Linked DNA regions of Drosophila melanogaster. The protein of the gene in region 4 interacts with the protein of the main gene of each other region in a pairwise test. Each region holds a gene or a part of one and is shown on either strand. Other genes may lie near its edges.

Region 1 (8,781 bases), 1.6 Mb from region 4:
TGCGTGTCATCAGGGTGGACATTGATACAGCGATACATTCGTTGTATATCGGCAGTGAAAACAAACTGATATTGTCTCCAATTCAAGAGAACGGCTGGCAGATCATTTTGCAGCGTGGGACCTACACATAGTACATCGTTTAACGATCTGCCATTTGAGGTCCGGGCCGATGCGTCAAAAACGATACGTTGTTTTGTGGTGAGGCTTTCTTCTTTGAAAACTGCATGATGTGGTAGCACGCATGATGCAACATGCCGACCGTAGGAATCCGTGGTTATGGTTGAGTTTTCGCTCGTCTCTGCCAACGTGATTTGACCTAGTTGAAAATATTCTTCAATTCCTTTGCAGTATCTGATCCATTTGTCTGGGTCCCTTTGAAGGCGCCTTTCGAGTTGAAGATATCTGTTCAGGGCGATCTGATGAGATTTTCCGAGCGTCATACTGGGGTCAAAGTTCCTCTTGAATGGCAAACGGACTTGATAACTGCCGTCTGGTTGACGTTGATGGGTCTGCTTAAAGAAAGACTCGCACCATTGATCTTCTTTGGAGAGCTTTGGGCGTTCTGGAACTGATTCTACCTCGCAAAATACCTTAAGCAGCTCTTCGGAGTTTATTATGGCATGATTACATCGAATGTGGCGTGTAATATGCGTGTTGCCAACATTGCCTAACAGAACCCATCCGAGTTGAGTATTCTGCGCTATGGGTTCGTTTGGCAAGCCAATCTTAGTTCCAGGCAACAAGAGTTGTGCCATAAGGTCGGCTCCAAAAATGATATCGATTCGCTTGGATCTATAATAATAGGGGTCTGCGAGCGTGAGACCATGGATATGACTCCAGTTTCCTGCTGGAAAACTTTGACTTGGCATGTGTGATGTCAACGTGTTCAAAACATAAGCATCGTCGACCTTTAACGAGAAATTTGGGTTAGTTGCTGTTTGCACCGAACAACTTACGATGAATTTGCAGCGTCGTCCTGAATCTTGACCGACTCCGGTGATTGAAGTGCGAGTTGTGCTTCGGGAGAGCTGGAGAGACTGTACAGCATGCTCCGAAATGATAGTTGCTTCCGATCCTTGGTCAAGAAGCGCGTTTACCGTGGCCTGGCATCCTGTCTGTGTGTTACTGAGTACAACCCGAGCTGTTGCTAGTAGTACCTTTCGATGAGTCATAGATGAAGTTGTAGTTGACATGCACTGTAGAGTCGGCTTGGCATCTGAACTGGCTGCTGAACTTTGGCATGATGTCGAGGAGGGTATCAGCGTTGGCTGTGTTGCTGGAAAATGTAACATCGTGTGATGACGTTGACCACAATGAAGACAATTCTTGTTGCTGGGGCAGCTTGCTTGTGTGTGCGATTTTCCCAGGCAATTGAGACACAATTTTGCCTTGCTGGCCACTTCCTTCCGTTGGTAGCAATCCATTGAAAGAAATTGCGGACATCTTCGAAGTATGTGTAAGTTGCCACAATGATAGCAAGCGGACGCGGAAGCACCCGACCTGGTGTGGGCGCTGTGCACACGCACGCGTTTAGTACCGTCTGAAGTTTCATTTGACTGTTTCATGCCGCTGCACGCGTTACGGCTTTCAATAGCGTCTAACGTAACAAGTCGATCATTGAGGAACTGTTGCAGATCTTTGTATGAAGGAACGTCAATCTTGCTGCCCAGATGATGCTCCCAAGCTGTGTGAGTGTCTTTGGGTAGTTTGGTTGTTAGATAATGAGTCAACCAAAAATCTCCTCCCTGTAGTGGCGCCTTGACGGTATTGCAAGCGGCAATGCAGACGTTGACTGTACTAACCATAGACCGTATGTCAGCAGATTTTTCTTTCGAAAGATTCGGTAAGTTGTAGAGCATGTTCATGTGGCTGGCGAACACAATTCGTGGGTTGTTATATCGTTGTAGAAGTGTGGTCCAAGCGACTTCATAGTTTGCTTCAGTTAAAGCGATTTGGCGAATGTCGTTGTCCAGGCCTACTGGTAATGCTTCCTTTAAAAAATGGAACCTTTGAATCTTATCCAGACGCTCATTATTGTGAATTAAGCGTAAAAATGCATCATGAAAACTTGGCCAGTCCGCGCAGTTGCCAGAGAATTTCGGAACTGGTAATTTTGGCAGTGGTATCCGTACTTCCTCTACATGTGTTGTTATTGTAGAGTTAGCTGATTCGTTGTGCGTCACTGTGCCTGGATAAATTCGTTTCTTTTCTTCGGCCACGAAACAGTAAACTTCCATGCCCAGGTCTTCGAATTGGCTGATTGTATTTTGTTGCTTATACACACTTTCTTCGTAGTCTGCCATGCATATAAGTGTGTGATGCGCCTGATGAAATTCTTTGTTAAACTCGTCGATTTGATTCAAACGTTTTTCGAAATATATTTCCGTTTTCCGCGCACTCGAGTCTTTTTTCACATTACTGAACAAGCGCTTCAAAGACTCAATGCGGTCAGTTTGAACTCGCACCAGTTGATCAAATTTCGACATTGTTTATACTGACGTTGCTCCACTGTATGTAATATGCACAAATGCTCGTATGTTATCGGTGTTCTTCTTTGACGTCTTGTTTTTTGAGTTGGCAGAGATTCCGGCAAATCTAACGGAATCGAAGGGCAACGGGACTTAGCTCTGTCGTGATGAGAGCGAGCGCGAACGTTTGCGTATACTGCTCTGTCGTGATGAGAGCGAGCGCGATAGAAAACGTAGGCACGGTGATTTATCTGGATGAAGCCGACCACGAAGATAAAATTGCCAAACAGCTTTTAGCAATTATTAATTATGATTCTTATGAGCAAGGTTCCCCTCATGGGCCACCAATGAATAGTTGTGATGCCTCACTGCTTTGACATCATTGTAATGGGGTTCGCAAATAAGAATCATATATACACTATTTAACTTCATTTATTTCTTCATATACAAAAATCACGTCTGATCGCTATGACCGCAAAATTACAATGGAGAAAGAAAGAATACAGTTCAGTTCAATTAGCATCGATATATAAAATGTTAATCCGCTGTTAAGACAGCTGAAGCACCGGGTGACTCCGCTCATAATCCGTACACCCTTTGATATTTTATATTGGGTGTAGCTTGAAAATAGCTAGTATTTCCGCAGCCCCAAAAGTAGGCATTAATTTGCTTACAAATCTATTCATCTAATTAATCTTCATCCCCAGCATGGGCTATGAAAAATCCAAAACTCAAAACCAGTTTGATTTAATTAGATATAAATTAGCGTTGCGTGTGGTGCAGACAATGAGTAGACAAACTGGATCGGTCTTGGGCGGATATTGGGCCGCTTAGCCGGTGCAATAAAATGTTAAAAGCCAGCGTGTATCGTCTTAAAAACCGTTTAACCGTACAAATGTGAAGCTAGTTTGGCGCCAGATAAGTGGCAAATAATTTTATTCGAAAATGAAGGTAGACAAAGGGCACAGGTTCTATTTGTGTGTCGATTAAATGACAATAAAGCTAGTTAATGGTGGAATTTGAACTGATTTGGAAAGGGTTATGAACCAAAAGTGGTCACTTGGATCTGTACACATCTCCTCAGACAATAGCGGTGGCATGCGTTGGAGTGGGAGTCACATTGGCCGTCTCATGAGTCTGGGCAGGAGTATAGGTTGTGGCCGTGGCCGGATCGTGAGTCTGGGCGGGAGTATAAGGTGTGGCCGTCGCATGAGTCTGGGCGGGCGTGTAGGAGGCCGCCGTCTGATCTGGTTCCTTGTCCAGGATCACCTTCTTGAGGATGAAGTAGAGGGCTCCACCAATCAGCAGCTCACCTACCGCTACACAAACGATGAGAGCCCATCCGGGAATAGCAAGGCCAGCTGCAAGAAATAACAATGTTGAGCAATATCGATCACGTATACGGCATCACTTACTGAAGTATCTGCGGGTAAGGGTGCGTCGTCCGCGGTTCACACGTCGCGTGGCCTCCGATTCTTGCAGGCAGCAGGCCAACAGTACTACAGAATAGAAAAGAATATACAAATTTAATATTTGTTAGACATAGTGATTCGTCCGAGGCGCAAAACACACATCATACACATTTTTTCAATGATCACGCGGCGTGTGGTCGAAGGTGGCCTGGTAAGATTGCGGCATTGGCTTTGAAGCATCCATCAAACCCAAGCCAAACGGAACTCATTGAAATAACAGCAAGACCATTCATCATATAGATCTTCAAATGCGCGAAGACTTGTTAAGATATTAACAATTAATCGTTGAGAAAATGTTTAACAACAGAGCCGGGCCAAAATCAACAAAAAACGCTGATTCTGATTGAGCCAAAATAGCGCGCGCGCGCCAACTTCTTCGATGATAAATGTGAGCTGGCATATTCCTTCCCCATTGTTCCATTGCGGATGTCAGATTCGATTTCACGTAAAATTATCAAAATGTATTTTTAATTAATAATATTTTATGTGTGTGTTCGTTCAGCTCATTCGGCATATTTTGCGTATGAAATATTAAATGGATTTGTTTGTCGATATGGAAAGTGTATAGATTTTTCCTCGATTCGATTAGTCGGTGATTCATGGAGACAGGCATTTGACAAAACCCATCCGCCAAATGTATGTGGCTAAGAGTGCGACCGATTTTCGTTGGCCAACCGCTAACCAATATTAATTGTTTTCATTCACTTTTTTGTCTAACATATTTCATAATTTATATGCGCAATAATTATGCCACTTCCGGTTTTAGGGCATTGGACTTTTGGCCTAATAAAAATTGCATGAAATCAAAGGAAATGATTTCGCATTTACTCACTGCCAGCTAAATTATATGTTTTATTTGGGATACCTTTCAATCCAAAAAGATTTCCCTCTGAACTCACTGATTCACCACGCCCTAAAGTTAAGCACACCAAGTGATGGGGCAACAATGAGTAAACACAGTGCTTATCTGAATCGCACTGATAAGCACACATTTTTGTAGAGTTTTCTTGTGCCTGATTGTGTGACGCACACTTGGCCCAGTTACTCATCGTTAGAGTCTCCAATTGCTGAAGTTGGGTTATTAAAACCCCACACCTATGGAATCATACGGATGCATCAGTGCATCATAATGCGTTAAAGTCTCACACATGCACAATACTCCGCCCACACACATGCACCAAAAAGTATCTCGCCGGTGTGCTGCGTATCTCTAGTTGGCACTCAAAACTCGGCAGATTCGAACGAGCATGCAGAACTTTACCCAGGCATATCACCAAGTAGGTGGAGCACTTCTTAGCCAACTTCATTTCCGTCGTTTTCGTCGGTTCTTTCGAAAAACTTATGTTCGCTTTTAGCTGTTAGCCAAGTTTGTAACGCGCACGTCGTCGACTCCAAAGTGGAACTAAAAACCTGTGCGTGATTGCATTCGTCGGCAGGTGCTAGTATCTTATCTCAAAGCACCTTATCTTTCATTGATAAGATTAGAAGGCTCTCTTTTCTCCCGCTATATATTACTTCTGAGGTCATCAGCACTGAAAAAAATAGTTTCATTTATGTTCAATCTAAAATGTCTCCTATATTTCTAAGCCTAACATGTTCAATATGCAAAATTCGTTGAGTTCAAGTCCTTACACAATATTTTATATCTGTACTATCGAAGGACAATAAGAGTCTTCTTTATTTATTGCCCATTTTAAAAAATATTTTTATAAAATCTTTTCACCAACTCCTTCGACTTTATAAGCTTTATCCCAATCCTAGGCATATTGTTTAAAAGATAGTTCGAATATTTAAAAATATTCTGCAAAAAGATATAGTAGTTGTAGGATATTTGTTTTAAAAATGTTTATTATTGTAAGTTCGGGTTTGTACTCGGGTTGTTCATAGTGGATTCAAATTGACTAATACGCTCGACTTATTGTTAGTTTCAATCTGAGACTGTCAAAGTCAGGACTTCTTCTGGAAAAACATCCTCGAAAATCTCAAATGCTGCGGTGGGAGTTGGCGCAATCGGCGGCTTAGTGGCGACGGAGCTTCAGACGACGGACGGTCTTGTAGCGGTAGCCATCGCTGGCCAGGACGGTCTGCTCGGCGGGCACATCAATGATGGCAGAGGCGGTCTCCTCCACGGGGGGCAGGTACTCGCCGGAAGGCAGCTCAGAGACATCACGGCGGCGACGGATCACACGACGCACGGTCTTGTAGCGGTATCCATCATCAGCCAGGGGAGTCTCCACAGCAACAGCCTCGGAGGCGGACTCCTCAACAGGGGGCAGGTATTCAGGGGACAGCTCGGAGACATCACGACGACGACGGATCACACGACGCACGGTCTTGTAGCGGTATCCATCATCAGCCAGAGGAGTCTCGACGGCAACGGCTTCGGAGGCGGATTCCTCAACAGGGGGCAGGTATTCGGCGGACAGCTCGTTTACATCACGACGGCGACGGATCACACGACGGACAGTCTTGTAGCGGTATCCATCAGCAGCCAGAGGGGTCTCAACAGCAACAGCCTCGGAGGCAGACTCCTCAACGGGGGGCAGGTACTCGCCGGAAGGAAGCTCATTGACATCACGACGACGACGGATCACACGGCGGACGGTCTTGTAACGGTAACCATCATCAGCAAGAGGGGTGTCCACAGCAACAGCCTCAGAGGCGGACTCCTCAACAGGGGGCAGGTATTCAGGGGACAGCTCGGAAACATCACGACGACGACGGATCACACGGCGGACAGTCTTGTAGCGGTAGCCATCATCAGCCAGGGGAGTCTCGACGGCAACAGCCTCGGAGGCGGACTCCTCAACAGGGGGCAGGTACTCAGGGGAGAGTTCGGAGACATCACGACGACGACGGATCACACGGCGGACAGTCTTGTAGCGGTAGCCATCATCAGCCAGGGGAGTCTCGACAGCAACAGCCTCGGAGGCGGACTCCTCAACAGGGGGCAGGTACTCAGGGGAGAGTTCGGAGACATCACGACGACGACGGATCACACGGCGGACGGTCTTGTAACGGTAGCCATCATCAGCCAGAGGAGTCTCGACGGCAACGGCTTCGGAGGCGGATTCCTCAACAGGGGGCAGGTATTCACCGGAGGGGAGCTCGTTCACATCACGACGGTGGCGCAACTTCAGGCGGCGCACGGTCTTGTAGCGGTATCCATCGTCGGAGAGAACTCCCTGCTCGGCGGGCACCTCCACGAGTTCGGAGGCAGATTCCAGGTTGTTGTCCACTGGCGGCAGGTAATCCGTGGCAATGGAGGCCGCCGAGGCAGCTGCGATCACAGCAAAGGCAATGACAAAGAATTTCTGCAAGGCAATAAGCGAAGGAGAGGGTTATGGGTTAGTCCTGGTCGCAGGATGACTGCTGGAGAACTAACCATTTTTCCAGAAGATCCAAGACGATGTCTGCTAGATTAATCCAAAGTTGATTCTGTTTTCAAACCAGACCCAACGACACTATTTATACACAAACTGCGCGAAAAGTTCTCGGCTGACCGATGTCCATTCACTTTGCGAGATCAGATGAACTGAGATGAGCTATGATGATCGCTGAGCAAACCGGTTAACAAGCGGCGAACTACCGCATCGATCGATGGCTTCTTCTACTGGGGCCGAACTCAGATTTGGATTGTCTAGTTGCTATTGTCAAAAAGTGTCTCAAGCACCAATTGAACTCTGGCTGGCCATATAAGATGATTAGCGCGGCCAGCTGCCAGAAGACAAAACGAAAGTAAACAAAGACGAGCCGGCGAAGTCCGCAGATTTGTAGATATTTTAGATTTGTAGATTCGTAGGCAGATGGAACAATGGTCGAGGGCTCTTCGATTGTCTCGATTATTTGCATCGATTTATGTCTGCCATATGCTTGAATAGATCGGATACATTTGTGACAATCCATTACCATTGGTAATTGCAAGCGGAAGTCGCCGCTTTTCAATGTATTTTTGGATGCTCTTGCCTCTCGGATCTCGATGAGCGCTTAAGGCCAAGATCGGCCGAAAGTATTTATACGCCATCTCGATTGATACGCGCTTGATGGTCCATCGAGTGTTGCTATTTTTGGTTTTTGCTCGCCACGCTCCATTAGGCGGCTATAAATAGATGAATGATTTAAGAGATCGCCACTTTTCCAATTTTTAATTTATATTTTTAAGCCGAAATAGCGTAGATGCTCCAATTGAGCGGCAGGCAAGCCATAAATCTTGCGGATAAGCTGAAATGGCTTGGCAATCTCCCACTCACAGCGTGTTCGATAGTTCGGAGGAATAGGAATTCATTCTGGCGATGGGAATGTATGATGGAGCACCACTTGACGATGCCAATGGCATTGGCTTGGCGGGAGTGTCGAGTGCGGGGCTGTCTGTCGAAAAGCGTTTGATATGTAGATGGGTTATAAGAATAGAATGGAATGTGCTTTTTATAATGCTGAAACGTGTTCAATTGGTTAACGTTAAATGATTCGTGTATTACATCCTGTTGAGCCTTGTGTTGTGTGTAAATTCTTCGTAATTCGAATTTAAACTGCGCACGAAACACCGATATCTTTCTTTCATTAACTTTATTTCCTGGCCATCTCAAATCGGGGAAAAAAACGGTCTTAATTTCAAATATATTCACACAGCGCTTCGTGGGGCTTTAGGCTTTCGTTTATTCATTTGTAAATGGCGCACATAAAAAATATATCCAGCCAGGCTGTATACTACTACTGTGCATATTTAATTTATATCTGGCAATCAGCATCATCATCATCAAAATGACACTGCCCCTCCAACTTGCCACATTGCCCCAGGTGAATACGGAAATACGGAAGGAGGAGGGGTCCCAAAAAAACAA
Region 2 (8,411 bases), on a different chromosome or scaffold from region 4:
ATAAGGACTTGGCGAGTGTGGGAATGTGTATTTGAATTGGCAGCTTTCGTGTAAATACTTTTCAATTTTTTAGGGTTTCGACGGCACAAAACGACGACGATTTCCACCACACCCACACACACACACACTCACCTGTGTTTTACAAGTGGGCCAGAATAAAAACAAAACTGCCATTGAAATAATTCTGCACTTGAGGGTAATTACATTATCGTTAAATTCAAAATATAATGAAACTGGATTGTACAAGTTCAAATTGGCGAGCTTTGGTTGCCGGCAATCCAAACCTGTTCATGGTTTTATGAAAGCAAAAGTTCGCGTATATTCATATTTGTACTTGTTTCCAGCGAAATGTCTGACTTTTATATTAATTAATTGAAGCGCAAGGGTGCAACAAAGTATTAATCCCCTGTTATAGATGAATACAGACATCAATTTTGCAAACATTTTTATTTATGGCGAAATTAATGAATGCCAGTAGCTATGATATTCTATGGACTTTTCGTGTTTGCACACAAAAAAGTGTCGACATGAAATGGTGTTTCTGGCATATTTTTTTTCAGTTGCATATTTATTATCTGCAATCTGCTTAATTGATCATAATATATAATATTTAGTCTTTGGCCTGATAAGAGTAGTATGTTCTTATCACTATGGGGTGAGTTTTAGATAAGAAACTTCGTCAAACGAAACATATATAAGTTATAGTTAAAATCTGATTCAGAATAAGTAGTGAAAACTTACCTGAAAATGTCAGCAAATTGCTATTATTCATTAGCACTGCTAAAGCAAATAACTAAATATTTTAAATACCTAGAGATATACAACTTTATGAATTCCTTCGTAGCGTTCTAAATTTATTCGTATGTGGTTTATTTTGGGAACGTTTACCCACCATCCGGATTTTCGACCCTGCGAACAGCAAAACGATGCGGATAGCAAACCGAATTCAATCGAAACGCTAAGCCCAGCAACACGCCCACTTTCTGGCCCCCCAGCAAGCCCACTTGTGCTGGCTTGGCAAATTCCAATTAATTTATGAGCCAAAATCTTGTTTATCGGCTGACGGTTTGTCGGTTTTGTGGCTTTTGTCTGTCTTGCTCGAGTGCTTTGGACTTTCACTGCTGCGGTTGTTGCTGGTCTGGGTATTGCTGCGATTAGAGGCGGTAGTTGCTCCACAAACGAGTTGTTTTCGAGCAAAGAAATGCAGGCAAATAGCGCCAGCTTAAGCTTTAGTCTTAGCCACACATATACTATAGCTACTTATGAACGCGATTGACGCTCGTAAATTCAAGTGCCTTCATAGCCGTGATCGTCTAGTGGTTAGGACCCCACGTTGTGGCCGTGGTAACCCAGGTTCGAATCCTGGTCACGGCAATGCTGCAATATGCATTGTCACGGAGAAGGATCTACTTTTTTTTTTGGTGTGATCCTAATTTTATAAACTAAGAAATCAAGGCACAAATTACACTTTACTGTGCACTATTTGGGCCATTTTTTTAACCAAAAGGTGTTTTAATCCGAAAAGTATTTATCAGATCGGACTAAGGAGTTTAACCGCTTGTTTAAGGAGTTTACAAAATCCTTTAGCCAACTTGCATGTGAAATGTAACAATTTATTTTAAATTCCCATTGTCTTTCATTTATTGAAAGAGTTTAAGATAGATTTTATTTTATGAATCGTTGTTTTGTTCTTCAACGAGCCAATATCTACCTCAGAAATCAGCTCTATAAAATAGGCAATTGTAACTTAAAAATAAAATACTAAATCTCTTGGGCAATATATCTCCCAAGGATATTTCAAACCAAATTGATTTATTTAATCTCTTTTAAGCGCCACACTTTAAATAGTAAGGAAAAGCACCTGAGCTTGGCTTCAATTGTCCTGACTTGCGGCTTTTTCTGCAAACTGAATGGCGGCTGGCTTTGACTTGAATTTTAATTTAATTGTGAGCAATTGACAGAAATATACAAGAACCCAATCCAGCACTTCGACCGAAGGATATTAAGACGCTGCCAGCTGGTGTTGACATAAAAACGCAATAAAAATACTGCCACCGAAACGGAGCAGACGTAACAATACACAGTAAAATGAAATAGGAAGGAATAAAAATAAAAAGAAAATATATTCTATGATTTTCTTACATATCACCATTTAAAATATCCTTTAAAATATTTGGAATATACTTTAAATGATATCTTTCTTTCAAAGCAAAAGCCTTAAAATAACGTACATACCTATTACTTATTTTTACCAATATTCCCCTTAAATAAGATTCCATGTTCGGTGTACGTACAGGGTACTTGCCAAAAAATCACTCAAAATCAATTGAATGTGGCCAGCACCGGTTTTCCCGTGGCAATAAGGGAAATCAACGTGAAAATAGCGACAACAATGCGTTTTGTTGCCGCTGCGGAGCAAGTGCTTATTGGATTTCTCGTCGTGAGAAGCGGGTGACAGCCTTTGGAAATCATTACTGGTTGGTGGGAATGGGTGTGGGGCAACTGGTCTGGGTTGTTGCGGGTGCTGAGTTGGGGCGATACAGAGTGGCCCATAATTACTTCAGGACGGTGTGAATCTTGTCCCAATTGCCATGGCGAATTTAAATTTTCCGCAAATAAAACGGCCGTGTGAGACAATCGCATTATTTACCATATACAATTCACGTAAAATGCAATGGCCATTTTCATGCCGTTTCAATGAAAGTAAAGAAAAATACAAATATTAACCACAAAGGCCTTGCTCACATCTGTGGGGGGTGGTTGTGGGCGGTGTGCGGTGGGTGGTGATTGGTGTGCAGTCGCCTGTATTTATGCATTTAAATTCGTCCGTTTCTCTATACGTATGTGTGTTCATATTGAATGGATAAAAGGGATTTGCGTTTATTTCGTTCTGCGTCTGGCCTGTTGGGTTCTTATGTATATATATATATATATATCCATATACGATCTGTCTATATGGCCGATGTCTGCGGGGCCATTTCGGAACAGAACGCAACACGCCGGAAACATTTTTGTTGTGCCATTTGCATTGCCATACAATTTTGCTCAACACATTGGCAGCAACAACGGGCCCATTTGGTTTTATATTTCATAAACCGGGGGGATACGACGAAGGTTTCTGTTTTAAGCGGCAAGTCAGAACGTATAAAATACAATAAATATGTCATAAAATTGTGGGTTGTCACAAACACTTTATATACATTTGTACCGAAAACCAGTATGGGCACCTTTCTGAAACTATATATTCATTCTCTATATTTTCACTATTTTACTAGCTATTTGTATACAGCGTAAGTTCTTTATTACATTCTTTCAATTTACGCTTGTCCAGTCCATCTTAATATTTACTTGTTCTTAAACGAGCACCGGAAATGATCGTTTGAGCTGTGCTAATTGAATGAAATGTTAGACTCGGCTGGGAATTAAAAAAGAACTGCGTATTTTCGTTGACTCATTTCACATTTTTAAATATATTTGGTACCTGGTGATTAGCTACAATTTATGCAAATGCAAGATCATACAAATATTTTCTACAATGGCATCGCGACGAGAGCACGTCTGAGTTTAGAATGCAAATATTAGTGCAATTGTACGTGTCTTTGGCGGTGGCAGCTCCTCAATAAGTTAAAATAAACTATGAACTAAACGAATAACAGTTATTAGCACGTGCACGCAGAAATGAGATGGCACCAGTGGTGGACAGGACAGCCTACTGGACCTTCTTGGCCTCCTTGGGCGCAATGGGTAGTCGTTCGATGGCCTCCTTGTACAGCTGGTTAAGGCCAAAGGTGGCGCGCACATTGTCGCTGGAGAAGAAGAACTTTTGCAGTTTACCCTTGGAATCGACGCAGGGCCTGCGGTCCGTCTCCTTGCCCTGTTGGAACAGGATCACAGTTGGTAGCTGTCGGGAGAAGCTGCTGTCCGAGATGCGATACTTTTGGGCCACGTCCGGAAAGCGTCCAATGTCAATCTTGCCGAACTTCAGGTGGTCCGTGTTGTACTCGGCGGAGAGCTCAGCAAAAACGGGGGCGAAGTTCACGCAGCTGGGATTCCACACCGTGTAGAAGCAGATCAGCCAGCTGGTTCGCTTGTCCCTGGCCAATTCCTCCTCGAAGACCTGTGCGTTGCGGAAGTAGGTGATGTGCTCGGGTCCGCGATACGAGGGCTCCGGCAGCACCATGCCCACCAGGACGCATAGAAGCAGAAAGCCCAGGCCGTAGCGGAAGTCCGCGTAGGCCCACAAAATGGCGTTGGCCACTTTGGTGTAGAGGAACGACGAGGCCAAGTAGTTAATCATGGTGACACTGCCCGTTTTGCGTGACCGTATCATCACCACGATTAGCAGGAAGAACAAGATTTCCACCTCACGACTGTCCAGGTCGCATGCTTCATCCTCTCCGGCGAGAATAAATAGGCGGGTGCAGATGAACTGCGTCTTTTTGGCCAAAAGGTACGATATGGCCAGGAGTATGTTAACCCAGTAGTATGGCTTGGCCAGCAGAGCCATCTGCTTCTTCCACGTCATCTCTGCGTCCGGGGGCTGAATGCGCTGATCTGGGTCACGATTTTAATTAACAATTTCCCGAGTTTTTCTTTTCTTGCTTTTGACAGCCAATTGTTAATTTTAGCCTCGCCGTTGACTAGAAATTAGCAGCCTAGTTGTCTGGCACGGGCGTTGCCACCTGATAAAAGAACAGTGGCACTCTTGTCAGTGCTGGAAATGGTATTAGTTCGTTGGCGCCTTTTCAAATTCAAAATCATCAATTAACAGTTTGCCTTTCTTAAACGTTCTTTGATACGTTTTATTTACTTATATGCATTATTATCTTACAAGTATTTAGTATTTAGTATTTAGCATTTTTTTTAAATGATAATTAATCAAAAGTTAAAACCATAAACAGAACTTGGGACAACCATATTTGTTTGCCCGAAAACCAACCGAAACTGATAAGCGAGTTATTGTTACATCAGCATTTTGCTAAAGTCATTGAGAGATTGTTGACCTAGCACACAAAGGCCACTGCAAAAAAAAGGTAAAAAAAAGGCATCGAGGATCTTCATTATCGGCACACACGCCGAGTTCAAATCTGCGAAAAAGCTTGGCTCTCTACGTGATCTCAGACGCTCGTGGCTTCCATCAGTCGCCTTATCACCCAAATATTATTTTGGCCTTTTTTTTTGTAGTTCCTAAATTAAATGTGTTTGGAACTGTGTGAATACTGTGAGAATTTTGTACCCACTTCATAGAGCATCACCAGTATTATCGCCATCGTGGCTGACTCTCCGCGTTGTGCAAAGATTAATTTTTTTGTAGTAAACACTGTGCGCGTCACTGGACTAAACGATTTATTTTTAATCGTATTATTGAGACCAATTTACGAGGGTCATCTCCATGATCCCCATCGGATCGATCACCCACCTCTTTACTGGTTTCACTAGTAGGCCGTTCTTTGTTTATACAGCGATTATTTTATGTTCAATACACTGGCAAATAAAGTGAGCTTGCTTCTATTTATAGAATATTTTCAACTGTGTTATTAGTAACCTCCTTATCGAATCAAACAACTTTCTCGTGGCTTTATATTTAAATTCAACCAATCATTCACTTTATAGTAAAAAAAGTATTAACAAAGACACTAGAATAAGACAATAGAATAAGAATTCTAGTGTCTTTGGTAATAATATATTAAAAACAATTAACTTAAAACAAAATAAGATTTTTTCAAGTGCACTGTTTTGTACAACTTGATAGAAATGAAATAGGGAATCAATACAGAAAATATTTCGAAAATCCGAGATCATGACTAATCAAAGTCAAATCTAAGGTGTTGATGCTTTTGCACCTTGTCTGCGCCAAAACAAAAATGAAGTGAAAATTTCAGTAAACAACGTGCACTTAGGTCAGTTTTTAATAATATTATAATCACAAATGCCTTTGCCAGCATGCTATAGTGTGTTGGCAGCCGGATTAATCTGGTTTGGAATAAAGTCTCGTAAGATTGTCAGCCATTTGAGTACAGGGACACTCGTGATGGGAACGAGAGCCCTTCATCTTGGCTGCGGCTAAAAAGCAAAACTGGTCTATAGATCCAGGGCTCTGATAGCCATATCAAGTACACAAATCTACTTCCCAGCCCCATCGAAACTTCCCGTAGAGCTTGGAAACAAATAGGCTTGTGTGTGGAAATGACAAAAAAAAAGGCAAAACCAAAACAATGACAACTGCAACTGATAAGTGGCACAAAATGGCGATCACTTGCCGGCTTTATAATCGCGCTATCAAGGCAGCCTGATCTCCTGTCTCCCGCTTATCACTTGGCGGCAGCTCCGAGCCGAACCGATCCGATCCGAACACGCGTTCTATAAATTCCATTCCCAGCCAGGCGACGTCTTCAGTTTAAATCCGAACCCTTGTGCTGAGTGTTCATCTCCGAGTAGCAGACATAGACAATCGCAGACAATCGAGCAAATCCCAGAAAAAACGACAGGCATCAAATGCCAAATCCATCGTGCAAAGCTAACCATTCCAATTGGCCTAATCTGATTCATAGTTGAAATTGTGATAAAAAACAAAAACCAAAGAAACTGGGACACATTTCGATCTAAGCGAAATATCCCCTATCCCACAAACTTTTTCCGGACTTTCAGTTTGGCCTTTGAATGCTGCTGCAGCAGTGCGGAAAAATCATCAATCTCGATCAGCATTTCACCGAGTGCTGGAATACAAGCCCATTGCGAAACTTTGACTTCATCATCTCCCTTCTGAGCGTTATTTCCCTAAGTGGTGGGTGGTGATTTTAGCCATGTATTTACAATGTATAACTAACTTTTGATGCTCCTCCTCCGCCTCCAGTTGTTAAGATGGCCGCCATTCCACAAGGTGCATTCGCAGCCTGCAAGATTCGCGAGCAATTCAACGAACGTGAGCTGATCATCGCCCGTCTGAGGTCCGCTGCCGCAGATAAGGGTTCCGTTGACAACGGGAACGCCCTAACCCGTAAGTGCACATGACGATCCACGATCTCGATCCGCTGGGTCAATGGAGCTCATACGCATCAATTTTGCATTTCCAGAACGCGAGTACTCGCCCAACAAGTACAACGACAAGCTGATGAACTCCATCTGGGGATTGTACAATCGCTATTCCCCCCACAATGTGAAGAAGAACGAGTACGCCCCCACCAAGTGATGACCTAAAGTGGGGCCACGTTCGCTTCCAGCTGACGTGCCCCAAACGCGACTAGCATCCCCACCAGGATGTTGGTCAAAATCAATTATATATTATATATACACAACTATAATCTCAAGCATATATCGATTTAAACGCACATAACACTTTGGTAACAAATATCTATTTAATGCTGTAATGTTTTGTAAAATTCAATAAATACTTATGATATTGTATGTAAAGGGACAAGACCATGAGGCGTAGTTTAATTTAAATAGCAGGACTCGTAGGTCGGCACCATGTACTTGATGTTGATGAAGGCATCCTCGCCGCCATGCAGTTCCAGCACCTGCAGCGTCTCATCGATCAGATCCCCCAGATTCAGATTGTTCTTCTGGGCATAGTCGATCTCATCGCCGCAGTTTACTATACAGCACAGAATATCCACTTCAATGGAAGTTACTGGAAGTAATCGAGTTTAGTGGAATACCTACAGTTTTTCACCTTAAATGCATTGAACATGGGCAGCAACTGGCGGTAGAAGGGCACCAGGGCGGGTCCCACCAAATCCGAGGACATGACCAGCTGTTGGATTATCTTCAATGTCGTGCACATTACCTCCAGGTTTCGTGTGCTCAATGCGTCTGCAAATGGGGGCGTATTTGGTTTTGGTTTTGTGCTCGCATTGGCAAGGTGCAAATTAGACCGAAAAACTTCGAGGCATTTGCGTGCCAGCCAATGCCCTGGTACTCACTCTTCAGCGGCAATATTAATTGCGGTATCACCGGGTGTATCTTCTCGCCCCCGGCCAAGAGGAGATCCGTGACCCCCTGGCGGGCATAGGTCTTGTAGGGATGTTTCGTCTCCGCCAGTCCGTCGAAGAAGAGCGGCAGATAGAGGCTGTAGTCCAGCTTTTCAATGTCCACCTAGGCGAGATACGGGAAGAGGTGACACCGTTGGCGGGTCAAAGGTGAATAGAGCCGCTCCAAGTTCGAAATTGGTTCGTGTACCGGCGGTGGCGCAAGTCTTGCAAGTGTACATTTGCACGCCATGCCGGTTAGGCGCCCTAGCTGATTTCCATTAAGATGCTCTTTGTTTGCTTACGTTGTCAGTGGAAAATTTTTAGAACACATCGAGAAATGGGCCTGTACCTGCCTATAGACTTTGCAGTGCTAAGTCTAGACTAATCTTTGTTCGAGAGTCTGCTTTGAGTATAGTTACCAGCTTAGCTTAGTTGATTTGA
Region 3 (7,564 bases), on a different chromosome or scaffold from region 4:
ACACAGCACACAACATGTCTACATTTCAAATACCTTCCCGAATCAAAATCGATATAACAAATAAACGGGCACAGAACATTCTTCACAAATATCTACATTTACGTAAGTTGCTTAAATAAGCTAAAGATTTTATGATTTGACCATGATTCGTTCAGCAACCTCTCCTGGAAACATGAGCAGCGAGGTAGATAGTAATTCACACCACGCCGCAGTGGTTATTGACAACGGCTCTGGAGTATGTAAGGCTGGATTCTCCCCAGAAGATACTCCCCGTGCTGTCTTCCCGTCGATTGTGGGCAGACCTCGTCACCTGAACGTCCTGCTGGATTCCGTGATCGGTGATAGTGTTATTGGCGAGGCGGCAGCCCGAAAAAGGGGAATACTAACCCTAAAGTATCCCATCGAGCACGGAATGGTCAAGAACTGGGATGAAATGGAGATGGTTTGGCAGCACACGTACGAGCTCTTGCGGGCGGATCCAATGGATTTGCCGGCTCTACTCACCGAAGCCCCACTGAATCCGAAGAAGAATAGAGAGAAGATGACAGAGATTATGTTCGAACACTTTCAGGTGCCAGCTTTTTATGTAGCAGTTCAGGCTGTGCTCTCACTTTACGCCACCGGGCGTACTGTGGGCATTGTGGTGGACTCGGGTGATGGTGTGACGCACACGGTACCGATCTACGAAGGATTTGCCCTGCCCCACGCCTGTGTACGAGTTGATCTGGCCGGCAGGGACCTCACCGATTATCTATGCAAGCTGCTTCTGGAGAGGGGCGTTACAATGGGCACCTCTGCTGAACGGGAAATCGTGCGTGAAATCAAGGAGAAACTCTGCTATGTGTCAATGAACTATGCCAAGGAAATGGATCTCCACGGAAAGGTGGAAACCTATGAGCTGCCAGATGGGCAGAAAATCGTTTTGGGCTGCGAGAGATTCCGCTGCCCGGAGGCTCTCTTCCAACCCAGTTTGCTGGGTCAGGAGGTGATGGGCATCCACGAGGCCACCCATCACTCGATAACCAACTGCGACATGGATCTGCGAAAGGATATGTATGCGAACATTGTTCTCTCTGGCGGTACGACCATGTTTCGTAACATCGAGCATAGATTCCTGCAAGACCTAACCGAAATGGCTCCACCATCCATCCGAATCAAGGTTAACGCTAGTCCAGACCGCAGATTCTCCGTTTGGACGGGTGGTTCCGTCTTGGCCTCACTCACGAGCTTCCAAAACATGTGGATCGACAGCTTGGAGTACGAAGAAGTTGGTTCCGCCATAGTCCATCGAAAGTGTTTTTAGTTAAGGAGGGTGTTCAAATATTCGTTATGAGCAATGATTATTATATATTTTCTATTTGCTAATGAATGTAATTTCTTAAACAAATCTAGTCGATATAAAATAAACAAAACTGGGGGTTACCTACACAAAAATTAGTTGCATTTGGGAAGCACAAGGCCCATGTAACGCCCTTCTAACAGCACAAATGCAACACTATCTAAACTAACCGCCAGATTAACTAGCCCCCAGGTAAACTAACTCCCATATAAAAAATTCTTAGGTAAATTAATCCCTAGATCAAATAACCCCAAGTTAAATTAACCCGCAGATACAACATCCCCCAGCTAAAAACAAAAATCCTTAAAAAAAAACTCCCAGTCAAACGAACCTGGTGGTAAATTAGCAACAAGATAAAATAGCAATCATTGAACCAAACAAATAACTTCTAAACTCTTATTCTGATTAATTTCGAATGTTTTAGGCTAAATGAAAATACAAATGTGTTCGATTGTAACATCTCGGTGGGAATCACAATAACGCAGTAACCTTAACTTCAATTCAGTTGCACGTGCACCGGGCGACAACAAAATCCAAGTTTCAACTCTCAAAGCATTCGCCTTCGTAATCATAATTGTCAAGCTCCATCATTTCGCAGTCGTATGCACTTGGGCATACGATGCTTTTGTTTAAGAGCTTGACAAGATTTCGATCACGGATCTAAGCGTGGGGATTTGTTTAAACCAAACAGCACAACGCGTGCTGAAGACAGCAGCTGCCAAGTCAGCACGTCAGATTATAGGCATTAGGCATTGAAACTTAGCTCTTTCGATTGGAAGGTGAAGATAAGAACTTTATCCTGCCTCATAGATACCAACTTTCGGATCGCTTTCCAAATTCTATATAATGTTACACTCTTTGAGGGGTTCAATGTTCGAGGATCCGCGAGTGAATGTGTCTAAACTTAAGTTACCGTAGCACCATTAACAAAAATAGAATTCTATAAACTAATATTTTAAATTTGACATTTATATTCAATATCTGATGTCTGAGTTTTATAAAATTAAATTACTTATTACCTGATACTTTTGGTCAATGCCTAAGTTGCAAACGGCCAAATAATATATTCAAGTAATGTGAAAAATTAGCACGTCATTATGCTGCACTTTAATTCAAATTAATTGCGAATTTATTAAGCCAAATGATGCATACAAATGTGTGTGAGATTTCCACATCTGAACGCAGCAACCTTAGCTTCCTTCCAGTTGCACGTGCACCACCAGCACTGCCAACTACAAAAGCCAAGTTTCGATGCATTCACCTTAATAATCGTATTCATAATTGTCTAGACTCATCATTTCGCAGTCAGTTGCTTTTGGGCATCCAAGGCGCCTTTTGTTAAAGGCACTTCACCAGATTTCGATCACGTATCAATGGCAAACCTCGTTGGAGACAAATAACACAACGCGTGCTTGAGGAGATGCACCTGCAACATGGCATTAGCCATGTGTAGCCCTAGTTAAAAGTTTGGATTACCATTCTAAACTCATTCGAGATTTTTTCATCAGGAAGTTGAAAACAAAATCAGAACTCTTTACAACTGCATTGTTTGTGTTTGCCCATCTTGTGCATAAATGATTATCTACCTCAAATTATTCTTATTCTGCACTGTTTTTGTTTGAAGGTCGCTACGATAATAAAGATTAAGAGTAGTTATATATAGATATTGTGGTTTCGTTTGTATTGGCCCATTTCCAGTAGCACATTATAACGCAATCGAGCAGCTGAGCCCGGGTTTTGAGCCAGAATCGAATTGACAGCCGCTTGAAAGGGTTTTCCATATCAAATGGATATCTGTGCCAAGTCGCTGGCTGCGGTGACTGTTTTCATTTTTTTTATATGGCAAAGTAGCGAAGCCAAGGTTGCGTGAATTCATCACTTCACTTCACTCCTGGGGGCTGAGCTACTGCAATTTTGTAAATTGTTTCCATTCGGTTACCTCATGGCTAACGTGCATTTATATATCACTTTTGGATGGGCCCAGCTACTTTTGGGTATTTATTTTTTATTAAACACCCGAACATAGAATAATTCAAATTCGTGAGGCTATAAATTAAAAAGGGACACGGAACGAGCGAGTGGGTGGGCCCCAAAGATGGGGCCGCTGTTGTGAGTTGTATTCAACATTGTGTCATGCCGCGACTAGCGGCTCTACATGAGCACTCGTCTAGTCTGATTTGGCCGGGCAGAGATGTCTCTTGGTCGTCTTCGACTTGGATGATGTTGTCGCAGTCGCTAGTTTCATATGCATGCAATGGAGCGTGGCCTAATGCGATGTTGTTTGCGGCAGATGCATGTGCACGTTTGTCGGTTTAGAGGTGATAGTTCCCAGACTAAGGAGTTTCACCTTCTCCGGTAAAACCCACTTATATAGCTCGATTTGGTCACCAACCCCGAGTTGTTCTGTTTGCTTATAAATATTACCTGTTGCCTTTGCCCACCTGTCACATCAAATTAAATTGGAGCGAGAATTTATGCGAGCCCAACTGAGAAAACAAGGCGGATTTATTAGAGCAAGTCTAGACTTTAAATACCCTAACAAAAACCCTAACAGAACCTCAGTCGCATTTTTCAGGGACCCATTGAAAAATACATTATTTATAAAGCAAGTATAGATTTGTATTCTGTATAAGGTATATTATAAAACTAAGATACCCACAGTAAGTGTATCCTGTTGCCAACCTTATTGCGCAGCTGCGAACAGTGTTATTCCTTGGCTAACTAAATCTGAGCTGGAATATCCTGCTGCAATGAGCTCATTACCCAAGGAGCAACACAATGGAACAGGCGTACAGTACAGCTTCCCGACTGCGTGGGATTTGCGTTTGTGGATTGGCCATTTCGGTGTATTCACTGTATGTGAAAATGAAACTAAAGGAGGATGAGAACTATAGGCCAATGTGCGACGTTAACGATAATATAAGCTGCTCGCTGGTTTTTAAATCGGGGTAGGTAAGATTATAATATATACAATATAAATTTAATGAAATAATTTTCCATCAGCTATGGTGATGGCTTTGGTCTGGGTAACATAACCCAAGTAAATGCTCCCAACGGAGCCATCGGCTGTGCATTTTATATCCTGTACTTCTTGAGCTGTACGTAAATTTCTTAGTACAAACTAAACTAAATTTAATAAGCATTTGTTTTCAGCTTTCTTTAATCATCGTTGGCTGTGCCTGGTCCAATTGATAGTATGCACTTTGACATTACTTCTCTGCGTTTATCTGGGTTTCCTGCTGATTCTCGTGTTTTACGATTTCTGTTTGGTATGCGTGACCATCTATTTCATACACACATGGCTCTTTCAGGAAGTCCTAAGGCGATATAGACGCCTTTATATGTAAGATTTGTACAATGTTAAGACAAGCTAAGCAAAAATTATGAAGATAAATCCCTAAGATTAGTAGCTCAGTGAGTTATTTTAAACTGTCAACGTTTTATGGCGAATATCTCAATCTTCATCAGTCGTTCATTTTGTGACCCACACGTTTGGCTAAAAGCAGGATGCTGAGCCGGCGCATCTACCATTCCAACTCCCATGACCAAGCACGTAGTGGGGCAATTAATTCTGCACGTTCCCATTTGCCGGCGAAGGCTGTGATCTGTGATCCATAATCCGCGAATGGCGCTACTGCCAACAAAAGTTAAGTCGAGCTAGCCAAGTTAATACGGTGGGCGGACTGTGAAAACTCGACGCAATTAATTTCCCATAAGTTCGGGAATCCCTTTGTGTGGGCTGCTGTTCCGATTTGGTTGGGCTGAATAACTGAATCAATGGATGTGTGGAAATGTATACTGTGTGGATGCTGTATCGCATACCCTTGCAGATTTAAGTATCTATGATGAAAATAGTTTGAGATAATACTGATGATATTTAGCTATCTGAATCTTAACTTCATAGAATCTTCGTTTTAGCCACCTCACATATCTTGAATTTGCATCTTAACAACTCGCACAGATGATCGATCTTGTAGATTTGCCATGAAGATTATTAAGCTGTCATTTCGATACCACCAAGCTGCTCTGGATCTAGTTGGAACATAATCAATGCAATTAGTCTCAGTGATTCCAGTTTGCATATCATCTGCATACCCTTCATTTTCAATTGATTCTCTGATCCTCGAGGCATCGCCACAATCTCCAATCTGCGATCGATTCGACCCGTCTACACCCATCAGACGCATCTGGAGATCCTACACCCAATTGGGGTCGTCTTTGGCACGATCGTCAACAATGTATCGCTGGGCTTTTTATTATTATTTTTCCTTTTTCGTCGCTGACAAGACAAGGCAAACAAATGCAAACTTTGGCGCTTGTCATAGCAACCACTGAACCACTGGAACACTGAACCACTCGCTTGGGAGAGTGAGCCGCGGCAGACGCCGCCGACACATTCACCCAGTGGAGTAGACCGAGTAGACTACTTTGGGCCAACGCAACGGCGGATGCAAAAAGGTTTGGGGCCCGGGCACAATCACCACCTCGCCGCGCCTCGAGAAGATGTGCACCGAAAGAAGGCAAATCAGCCCGAGACCCAAGACCGAGGCACCCTTTACGTGGCAATCTGGCGCAGATCGGGGTGGTGAAGTGTTGGCAAGCAAGCTCAGTGATTGAGATTTTTGCTTTCGACCGCATAGAATCAGCCACCGCTTCTCTGAAGACGATCGTATGTGGCAGCCTCATCAGCTGCATCAGCAGCAACAGCAGCAGCAGCAGCTGTTGCGCTGGTTGCCACACGCTCCACAAAACCGCCACCTCCAACTCATAGTCGAGTTCGTGTGTGTGCATCCTAGACTTTCAGTTTTTCGGTTTTGCCTCATATAAATACGCCATGTGGCAGCTACCACAGATCAGTCAGAATTCGGCGCTGCTTCCAAGCGCTAGTCTCATCCCAAAGATTTCGATCAGTCCGTAGACCGAGCTTCAGTTCCAGCTTCAGCTTTAGATACAAGTGGAATATGTTCAAGTTACTCGGCTTGACGCTGCTCATGGCAATGGTGGTCCTTGGGCGACCGGAGCCACCAGTTAACTCGTATCTACCTCCGTCCGATAGCTATGGAGCACCGGGTCAGAGTGGTCCCGGCGGCAGGCCGTCGGATTCCTATGGAGCTCCTGGTGGTGGAAACGGTGGACGGCCCTCAGACAGCTATGGCGCTCCAGGCCAGGGTCAAGGACAGGGACAAGGACAAGGTGGATATGCAGGCAAGCCCTCAGATACCTATGGAGCTCCTGGTGGTGGAAATGGCAACGGAGGTCGTCCATCGAGCAGCTATGGCGCTCCTGGCGGTGGAAACGGTGGTCGTCCTTCGGATACCTACGGTGCTCCTGGTGGCGGAAATGGTGGACGCCCATCGGACACTTATGGTGCTCCTGGTGGTGGTGGAAATGGCAACGGCGGACGACCTTCAAGCAGCTATGGAGCTCCTGGTCAAGGACAAGGCAACGGAAATGGCGGTCGCTCATCGAGCAGCTATGGTGCTCCTGGCGGTGGAAACGGCGGTCGTCCTTCGGATACCTACGGTGCTCCCGGTGGTGGAAACGGTGGTCGTCCTTCGGATACTTACGGCGCTCCTGGTGGCGGCAATAATGGCGGTCGTCCCTCAAGCAGCTACGGCGCTCCTGGTGGTGGAAACGGTGGTCGTCCATCTGACACCTATGGCGCTCCTGGTGGCGGTAACGGAAACGGCAGCGGTGGTCGTCCTTCAAGCAGCTATGGAGCTCCTGGTCAGGGCCAAGGTGGATTTGGTGGTCGTCCATCGGACTCCTATGGTGCTCCTGGTCAGAACCAAAAACCATCAGATTCATATGGCGCCCCTGGTAGCGGCAATGGCAACGGCGGACGTCCTTCGAGCAGCTATGGAGCTCCAGGCTCAGGACCTGGTGGCCGACCCTCCGACTCCTACGGACCCCCAGCTTCTGGATCGGGAGCAGGTGGCGCTGGAGGCAGTGGACCCGGCGGCGCTGACTACGATAACGATGTAAGTGTTTGAGATAGCTTAGCAAATAGGGTATATGGTAAAATGGGATTTGTATACGGGGATCACTGGGTGGAATTGACCACAAGGGAACACCGCTCCACCGCCCACACCGCTGCACACTTGCCCTTGCAAATCTTTGGTAGACTCGTTATCGCTCACCTGCACAGCCATCGGCGTTTAAAGCTTGCATCCCCATAGAAAACTGAATTCTTGATCCCAGACACTCTATCTCTCTGTGTTTCTC
Region 4 (7,029 bases):
CCTTAGTATCACATAGTTAGTATCACAGTTGAACCAGTACGAAATAATCATTTGCGTTGCAATAATATATTTAATATTTATTTATAGTTATCAACAAACTATAACATTTAGTAGTTTTCCGGCAATTTAGAGCAACGCGCCTTGAAGGATGGCCTAGCATCCCTCGCACCAGCACTTCAGACTGGGACTGCAGTGGCCACTGGATCGTCCTTCCTCCTTGCACACCCGACGACAGGTCTCGTTGTCCCAGACGGCGCAGGGTCCTCCGTATCTTCCAGAGAGACAGTCGGCATCGGCTTCCTTGGCGCCCAGGATGAAGATGGTCATCACAGCCAGGAAGAGGTACAGGAACTTGATCTGCATGTTGTCGGTTTTGAATCAGAGTGCTGCTGTCGGAACAATTCGAACTTGATTTATGAGTCCAAACCCCCAGCAACCGCTTTATATAGGGATCGGGATCTCTCTGCCAGCTTCGTCGTATTTCTGGAATTGATTGGCAGATAATTGGAGATAATTATTGAATTGTATTTCATGGAAGGGCATACTTTAGGGCTGATAAGACAACGAAAACTGACTTCAAAAAGTATTCTCTTTCGAGATAATGATCATTACGGTAAGTGTCTAAGAAAAGTCGCATGAAATTTCGTTTTCTTTTTAAAAAGTTTCACTGCCATCTTCTCAGTTAGCAGTTGAGTAAGAATGCGTAGTTTTTCTAATGGAAAATTAAAAATGGCTTATTAATAATCTGCCGACATTGATTTTATGCAATGTGCCATTTATCACGAGACTTCTAGGAAACTAATTAAACCAGTTTCATTAATTAAATTTATTCATAAATTGTAAAACTGTCGAGTTTGTTAGGAAAACCCAGAACCGGATTCAAACACCAAACTTGCACTTTTCGATGTAACACGGTTGATAATTTGTTGGAAATATTAACATGACAAGATTATCTTTATTTCCCATAAAGTGATATGGGTGCTGGTAAATGAAGATTTGTGTTCATAAATGAAAATGGCCTTTCCAACTCTTGTTAAGACTGAAATAGTCTATGCTTTTTTTTTCTTAAATGCTTATTATGAGTTGAATTATATATTCCACTTCTTTCTAAATGAATTTTAGCTTTCTATTGAAGTTAACTCTGATTATTTATCATTTAATTATTTCTTCCATTCCATTATAAATCTCATTTTCGAAGTAAATTTATGATTTTAAAAGGATTCGTTCTTTAAGTAGAAATAAAACTGTATTATTTGCTGTGAAGTATATTCTTTATTTTTCTTTTCAAAACAATAAAAAACATATGACACACATATGTGTCAAACATATTGGACGATGAGGATCCTCAGCATTGTTCGCACCAGCACTTCAGACTGGCACTGCAGTGTCCACTGACACGTCCTTCCTCCCTGCAGAGGCGACGGCACTGCTCTCCATCCCAGGCCCAGCAAGGACCACTGAATCTTCCAGATGGGCAATCCACGGCCGAAGCCGAGTTGGCCACCATTAGGACAATGGTCACCACAGCGAGGAGAGCAAACAATCCTTTAATTTGAGCCATTATTAGAATGTTCTTCTGGTTAAAATCTTTACTTTTGAGTTTCTTGAGTCCGACTGCACTCTTATATAGGTACAGAATTTGTATATTAACCGATTAGCATAAAGGTGAAAATGCAAATAACTGCAATATAACTTTCGAAAGGCATACTTTTGGGCCTTTTACGCGACAAAACGCGCATCGCTATTTTGGGATGATAGAATTGCTATACCTTCTTGATGTTGATGCACCTTTTTGTTTAATATACTTACCACATACATATTAAATCAAATCAAGAGATAACTCCTGAAAGGCAATGCTTACGTGCCTTTTACTGTGCGGTGTACAGTATATTTATTATTGGCTCAGAATAAACAAAAAAACAGCATGCACTTTTGAACTGCAGTGGATCTAGCATCCTTCGCACCAGCACTTCATTGCGCCACTGCAGTGTCCACTGACATGTCCCTCCTCAATGCAGAGACGGCGGCACTTTTCTCCACTCCAGGCCCAGCAAGGACCTCCGAAAGTTCCAGATAGGCAATCACGTGCCAAAACAGTGTTGGCCTCCATTAGGACAATGGTCATTACAGCAAGGATAGCAAACAGGAATATCATCTGCACCATGACAACTGATGTTTTCAACGAGTCGGGAATTTTACTTGAGTTCTTAAAGACTTTTGGCATCGACCACTCGTGGGGACGCTTATATAGAGATACAGATTTTAAGATTTTTTATTTGATCGTAGCAATCGATAAGCTTCTCGGAAATTCAAGCTAACAATAACCGATATAATCCTAGTTTTCCAGAAACACTTGATTTATGTGTGCCATGTGTCAACTTCATTGATTTAAAAATGCATCGTTATCATAATAAGTTATTTACCTAGAATTGCTATCTTTTCGATTTAATGATGTATGTAAACATTCACTTCTCCTAACACATTGCCATACAGGAAATTAAAAGACAACAGTGCGTATGAGTGATAAGCGTAAGAGGCCTTTATATTTATATATTATTTGTTTAGAATGAAATATTCAATATACACATTTCAAATGGATATAGTATGGATTCAGCATCCTTCGCACCAGCACTTCAGGCTGGGACTGCAGTGGCCACTGATATGTCCCTCCTCCTTGCAAATACGTCGGCACATCTCGTTGTCCCAGACGGCGCAGGGACCCTTGTATTTGCCGGAAAGGCAATCGGCATCAGCCATATTGGCGGCCAGGACAACAATTGTCATCACAGCCAGGAAGACGAAAAGGAATTTGATCTGCACCATTGCAACTGATGTTCCGAACGAGTCTGGTACTTTACTTGAGTTCTCGAAGACGTTTGGTATCGACAGCTTGTGGGGACGCTTATATAGGACTACACCACCTCCATGCATTTCCAATAATCTTTTTTAGCACGTTTCAAAATCTTTTGTGATGCATTTGCTCAGTGGCTAGGTGCCTCAACTTTGATGTCACACATGTGCTCCTATCTGAATTCGATAAGCTTCCAAGAAACTCGAGGCAGAGCTCGCAATCTTGCCCATTGCTGCAATCGATAAAATGAATCAGGGAATCAGGAAGTACCAGTGACCCCTGATTGTATCGAAAATTTCGACTCCAAAGAGGCATTTTATCAAATTGTATACAGTTAGTTCGCTTGGTCTAATTATGTTTGGCGTTTATTTACAAACATATACATCTGAAAATTAATGCAGATCATAAAATAATACATGATGTTTGCATTAAATGTATAGTCATTATAAAGTTCGATACGATTAAAATTAAATAGAAACTAGGTTCTCGGTTGTGGTAAAAACATTTACATATAGCATTACAACTACTAAGATTTAGGGACTATGTCTAACCATACACAAACACAAATGCGTGTATACCTATGTATTTTGTAAACTGTCTTTAGTCATTTGCTAATCCGTGGGTAACTATTGAATACAATAATTTATTTCACGTATGTATAAACTTTCTCAAAATGTAAAAAACGTAGTACATATGTATTCTCTGCTGTTTGGGCTCACTTATCGATCTAAACTAATGCAATTAACTACAATCGAATAGGTTTAACATACTATATAGTATATGAATGACATCCTGAACAGCATGTTCCTTTAAACTTTGTGTCTCCCGCACTAATAGATAATCGTGTTCTTCATTTTCATTTTCATTTTTGATTTCACTTTAATTAAACTAGCTCAATGGTCAATCGACCGAACTTGTCCCACTCTCATTTACGCCTAAATTCCACTAAGAACAAATAATGATACAAAAAAACACGAAAGCTGCACCATGGCAGACCAGTCTCCATTGCAGCGGTTTGCACAATTAACGTTAAACTAGGCTCCTAATTAGAGTGCCACCTCGTCGCCATTCCTGGTACTCAGTGGTGACACCTGCTCCTGATACTGCTGTTCGGCCTGCAACTGAAGCTCCCGTCGCCGCTGGGCGGTCACCGTCAGGCCGAGATTGACGTCCACCTGTGCGCTGGAGACCACTAGGTTGTTGGCGCGTGGCTCGTACATTATATCACGTATTGATGTTGCTGCTGCTGTTGTGGCGGCCTTTGTTGTTGCGGTTGCGGTTTCCGTTTTGGTCGTGGCAAAGTGTACATGTTGTTGCGCCTGATGTGGCTGTCGTCAAACCAAATCGCTCTTCGGCGTTGACGTGGCCCCTATCGCAGCCACGGGCGCTCCTGTGCTGGCCCCACCAGTGGCTCCCTGGTTGCCACTGGACGTGGCCTCCAGCAGGGAACCCGCCTCCACATCGCCGGCCTGTCGGGCGGCATTCCGCTGGCGGCACAGATACGGCGAGTTGGTGGGTGAGGGCAGTTGGTTCTGTAATTAAGGTTTATACTTCATTATACAATTCTACATGTTCCCATTAGACTAGATGAACTCACCAATTTGTTGTTGTTTTGGCAGCACGTGGCCTTGACACATCCTTCTTCCGTGGTAGGACAATCCAACGCGCAGCAGTCGGAGCCGCTGATGTTGATGCTGGAGGTGCCATCGGACATGTTGCAGCCTTCGATCTCGCTGAACTCTGGCTGAATGGTGGTAGAGTGGATACCCTCGTTGTGGAAGAACTCCTTCACCTTTTCGGCAATCTTCATGTACTCCGAAAGGTTACGGCACCTACAAGGTTTACGAGAGATGGATTAGATTGCATTAATTTGATTTATAAATGGTTATAGAATTAATTTTTCTTTTTAAACAGGCAGTTACTCTTTTAACAAGTAAATCTCACCTAATATGGGCAGAGGCGATGATGCGGTCGCCGGCCAGTTGCCACACATGGAACTCGTGCACAGCCAGCACGCCATCAACTTTCTCCAGAAGCCTCTTCTGAATGGCATCCACCTGGATGTGGGTGGGCACCGTTTGGAGCAGAATTAAAGCGGACTCGCGCAGCAGCGGCCACACGGAGTGCAGGATCAAAACAACCAAAACGATGGACAGAGCGGGATCCATGTAGTACCGGTACTTCCACTCCGTCTTCCACACCACCACAGCACTGATTACGACAATGATGCTGCCAAGGGCATCGCTCAAAACGTGCAAGAAGGCGCCGCGCATATTCATCTGGCCGGGATCATGGCTGTGTCCATGGCTGGATTTCTTGACCGGTGCCTTTTCCTTCTGCTTCTCGTAGGCAAAGTCGTTTTGCTCATCCTCGCCCTCGTCCATGTTGGCCAACTCAGTGAGGCGGCTGTGGTTACGGGTGAGTCCGCCGCCATGTGAGTGTCCATGGTGACCGCCGTGCTCTGCAATGCAGATGAAGTTAAAGAACGGCCTACTCTTATCTGTATTACTTGGTCTTACCGTAAAGCAGACAAAGTCCAATAACATTCACCAGAAGACCCAAGGCTCCCACGATGACAAGCAGTTCAGGCTCGTGAATCGGCTCCTCCTCAATGAATCTGTGATAAATGGAAATGTATTGTTTTATTTAAACTGTATTAAGATAACATAACGAAAGCACTCATCAAATCCTATGTTAGTTTATTATTTTCGACAGTGTAGCTGGCTTCTGCAGGGAATCTGTAGCTATTGGCAGAATAATCACCTCGCAAAGCGTTCGATAAATATGCACACAATGTGACCGGAATGTAAATGAACAAAGCGTATAATTCACACAACCCAATGCACAAATACAAACCGAAATGTGACGATATAACGTGAATGTATCACAACAAATTAACTCACAGACGGAGTAAGTCAAGAAAATTTAAACAAATCACGTTAGCACATGTCGATGCCAAGGCAAGCCTTTTGCTCATAATACGGCTTGGCTTACAATTGTCAGATCATTAAATAAGTGGTTTTTGGGTGCGGATCAACGATCCGTAATGAGTCGAAATATTAAAACCATTTGCGTTGCGGCCAAGGAGTAAAGAGTAAGCGAGTAGTAATCCAAGTTAATTAGTTTCAGAGCCACGTTTAATAAGCAATGAGTTTTAAAAGCCTCGTTATAAAACTTTAATCGAATTTATACAGAATTTAATAGTATGCTGACACCATTGTAACATATTTTTTGGTTTTTTTTTTCTCAGGAATATAAACAAAACCAATCTCCAAGCCGCTTAATCATTCGATTGGTACTTTGCTTGTTATTTAAGCATGTAATGACTCATATAAATGAGTAGAGATTTTCGCTTGGCGAGCAGATGTTTCAAAATTGATTCTATTGCAGCTTATCTTAGTAGTGTACATTCTGCAAACAATGTTATTTGATTGATCACAACGCACTCACCTTTTGCAAGCCTCGATGGTGATGCTGAAGCACAAGGCCACCAGGAAAACGGCGTTGACCAAAGCACCCAAGACTTCTGCCCTGGCCCAGCCAAAAGTGTTCTTTGACCACTTTTTCGGTGACATCTGTCGAGATAAGGAGTTAGCTGAGTGATACACGTTGTATTTTTCGGTAAAAGCCAGTAACTTACCTTCACAGACAGGAATGATATGACCAGGGCCGCAATGTCGCCCAGCATGTGGAAACTATCCGCCACCAGAGCCATCGAATTGGTCACATAGCCCACTATGATCTCCACGAAGAAGAAGAACGCCGTAAGCCACATCATCGAGAGCAGCCGGCATTTTTTGCCCGAGTACTTGGCCATTTTGGAGAAACTGCAAGAGGGAAGAAGGTGCACGGATTAACAATTAATTGAATCTCTTGATCTCTAGAACCATTTGATTTTCTTACAATACAAAAATTGGAGTCATGGAAACAGTAGTCGGCGAAACAGACTTCCCCCAATTTATTTACCAAAGAAAGCCATTATTGGACTTGGAGAAGTTTGGCTGTGATGTTATGCCCCCATCTTATACATTTTCCATCAATATGGCTTTCGAAATATCAATCAAAGCTCGTTCTCAGTTCATTCAACTGCTTTTTTTATGCAGTCAACAAATAGCCTGCCAAGCTCTGAAATTGTTATTGCACAAAAAAAAAAGATACTGAGACACGCACGCCCAAAC

Evidence for each region.
Region 1: the proteins of Drsl2 (region 4) and hoka interact in a two-hybrid assay, tested with the Drosophila melanogaster proteins (one large-scale study listed by BioGRID).
Region 2: the proteins of Drsl2 (region 4) and CG11007 interact in a two-hybrid assay, tested with the Drosophila melanogaster proteins (one large-scale study listed by BioGRID).
Region 3: the proteins of Drsl2 (region 4) and Vkor interact in a two-hybrid assay, tested with the Drosophila melanogaster proteins (one large-scale study listed by BioGRID).

The regions. Positions count from the first base shown.
Region 1 is NT_037436.4:4,895,463-4,904,243, reverse strand, and holds hoka (hoka), read right to left. Parts: upstream 5,345-8,781; 5' UTR 5,248-5,344; coding exon 5,202-5,247; intron 3,968-5,201; coding exon 3,884-3,967; intron 3,830-3,883; coding exon 3,549-3,829; 3' UTR 3,375-3,548; downstream 1-3,374. Other genes in the region: CG13705 (uncharacterized protein), read right to left, coding at 5,959-7,254, 7,326-7,328.
Region 2 is NT_033778.4:19,499,302-19,507,712, reverse strand, and holds CG11007 (uncharacterized protein), read right to left. Parts: upstream 4,646-8,411; 5' UTR 4,526-4,645; coding exon 3,710-4,525; 3' UTR 3,119-3,709; downstream 1-3,118. Other genes in the region: CG16926 (uncharacterized protein), read left to right, coding at 6,661-6,784, 6,854-6,997, 7,074-7,189; CG15120 (uncharacterized protein), read right to left, coding at 7,434-7,594, 7,663-7,812, 7,923-8,094.
Region 3 is NT_033778.4:16,774,248-16,781,811, forward strand, and holds Vkor (Vitamin-K epoxide reductase), read left to right. Parts: upstream 1-4,117; coding exon 4,118-4,287; intron 4,288-4,342; coding exon 4,343-4,437; intron 4,438-4,492; coding exon 4,493-4,686; 3' UTR 4,687-4,747; downstream 4,748-7,564. Other genes in the region: Arp53D (Actin-related protein 53D), read left to right, coding at 15-102, 156-1,303; resilin, read left to right, coding at 6,301-7,320.
Region 4 is NT_037436.4:3,310,169-3,317,197, reverse strand, and holds Drsl2 (Drosomycin-like 2), read right to left. Parts: upstream 2,850-7,029; 5' UTR 2,824-2,849; coding exon 2,611-2,823; 3' UTR 2,517-2,610; downstream 1-2,516. Other genes in the region: Drsl5 (Drosomycin-like 5), read right to left, coding at 154-363; Drsl4 (Drosomycin-like 4), read right to left, coding at 1,346-1,561; Drsl3 (Drosomycin-like 3), read right to left, coding at 1,949-2,164; ZnT63C (zinc transporter 63C), read right to left, coding at 4,186-4,383, 4,449-4,683, 4,796-5,312, 5,371-5,468, 6,302-6,426, 6,492-6,668.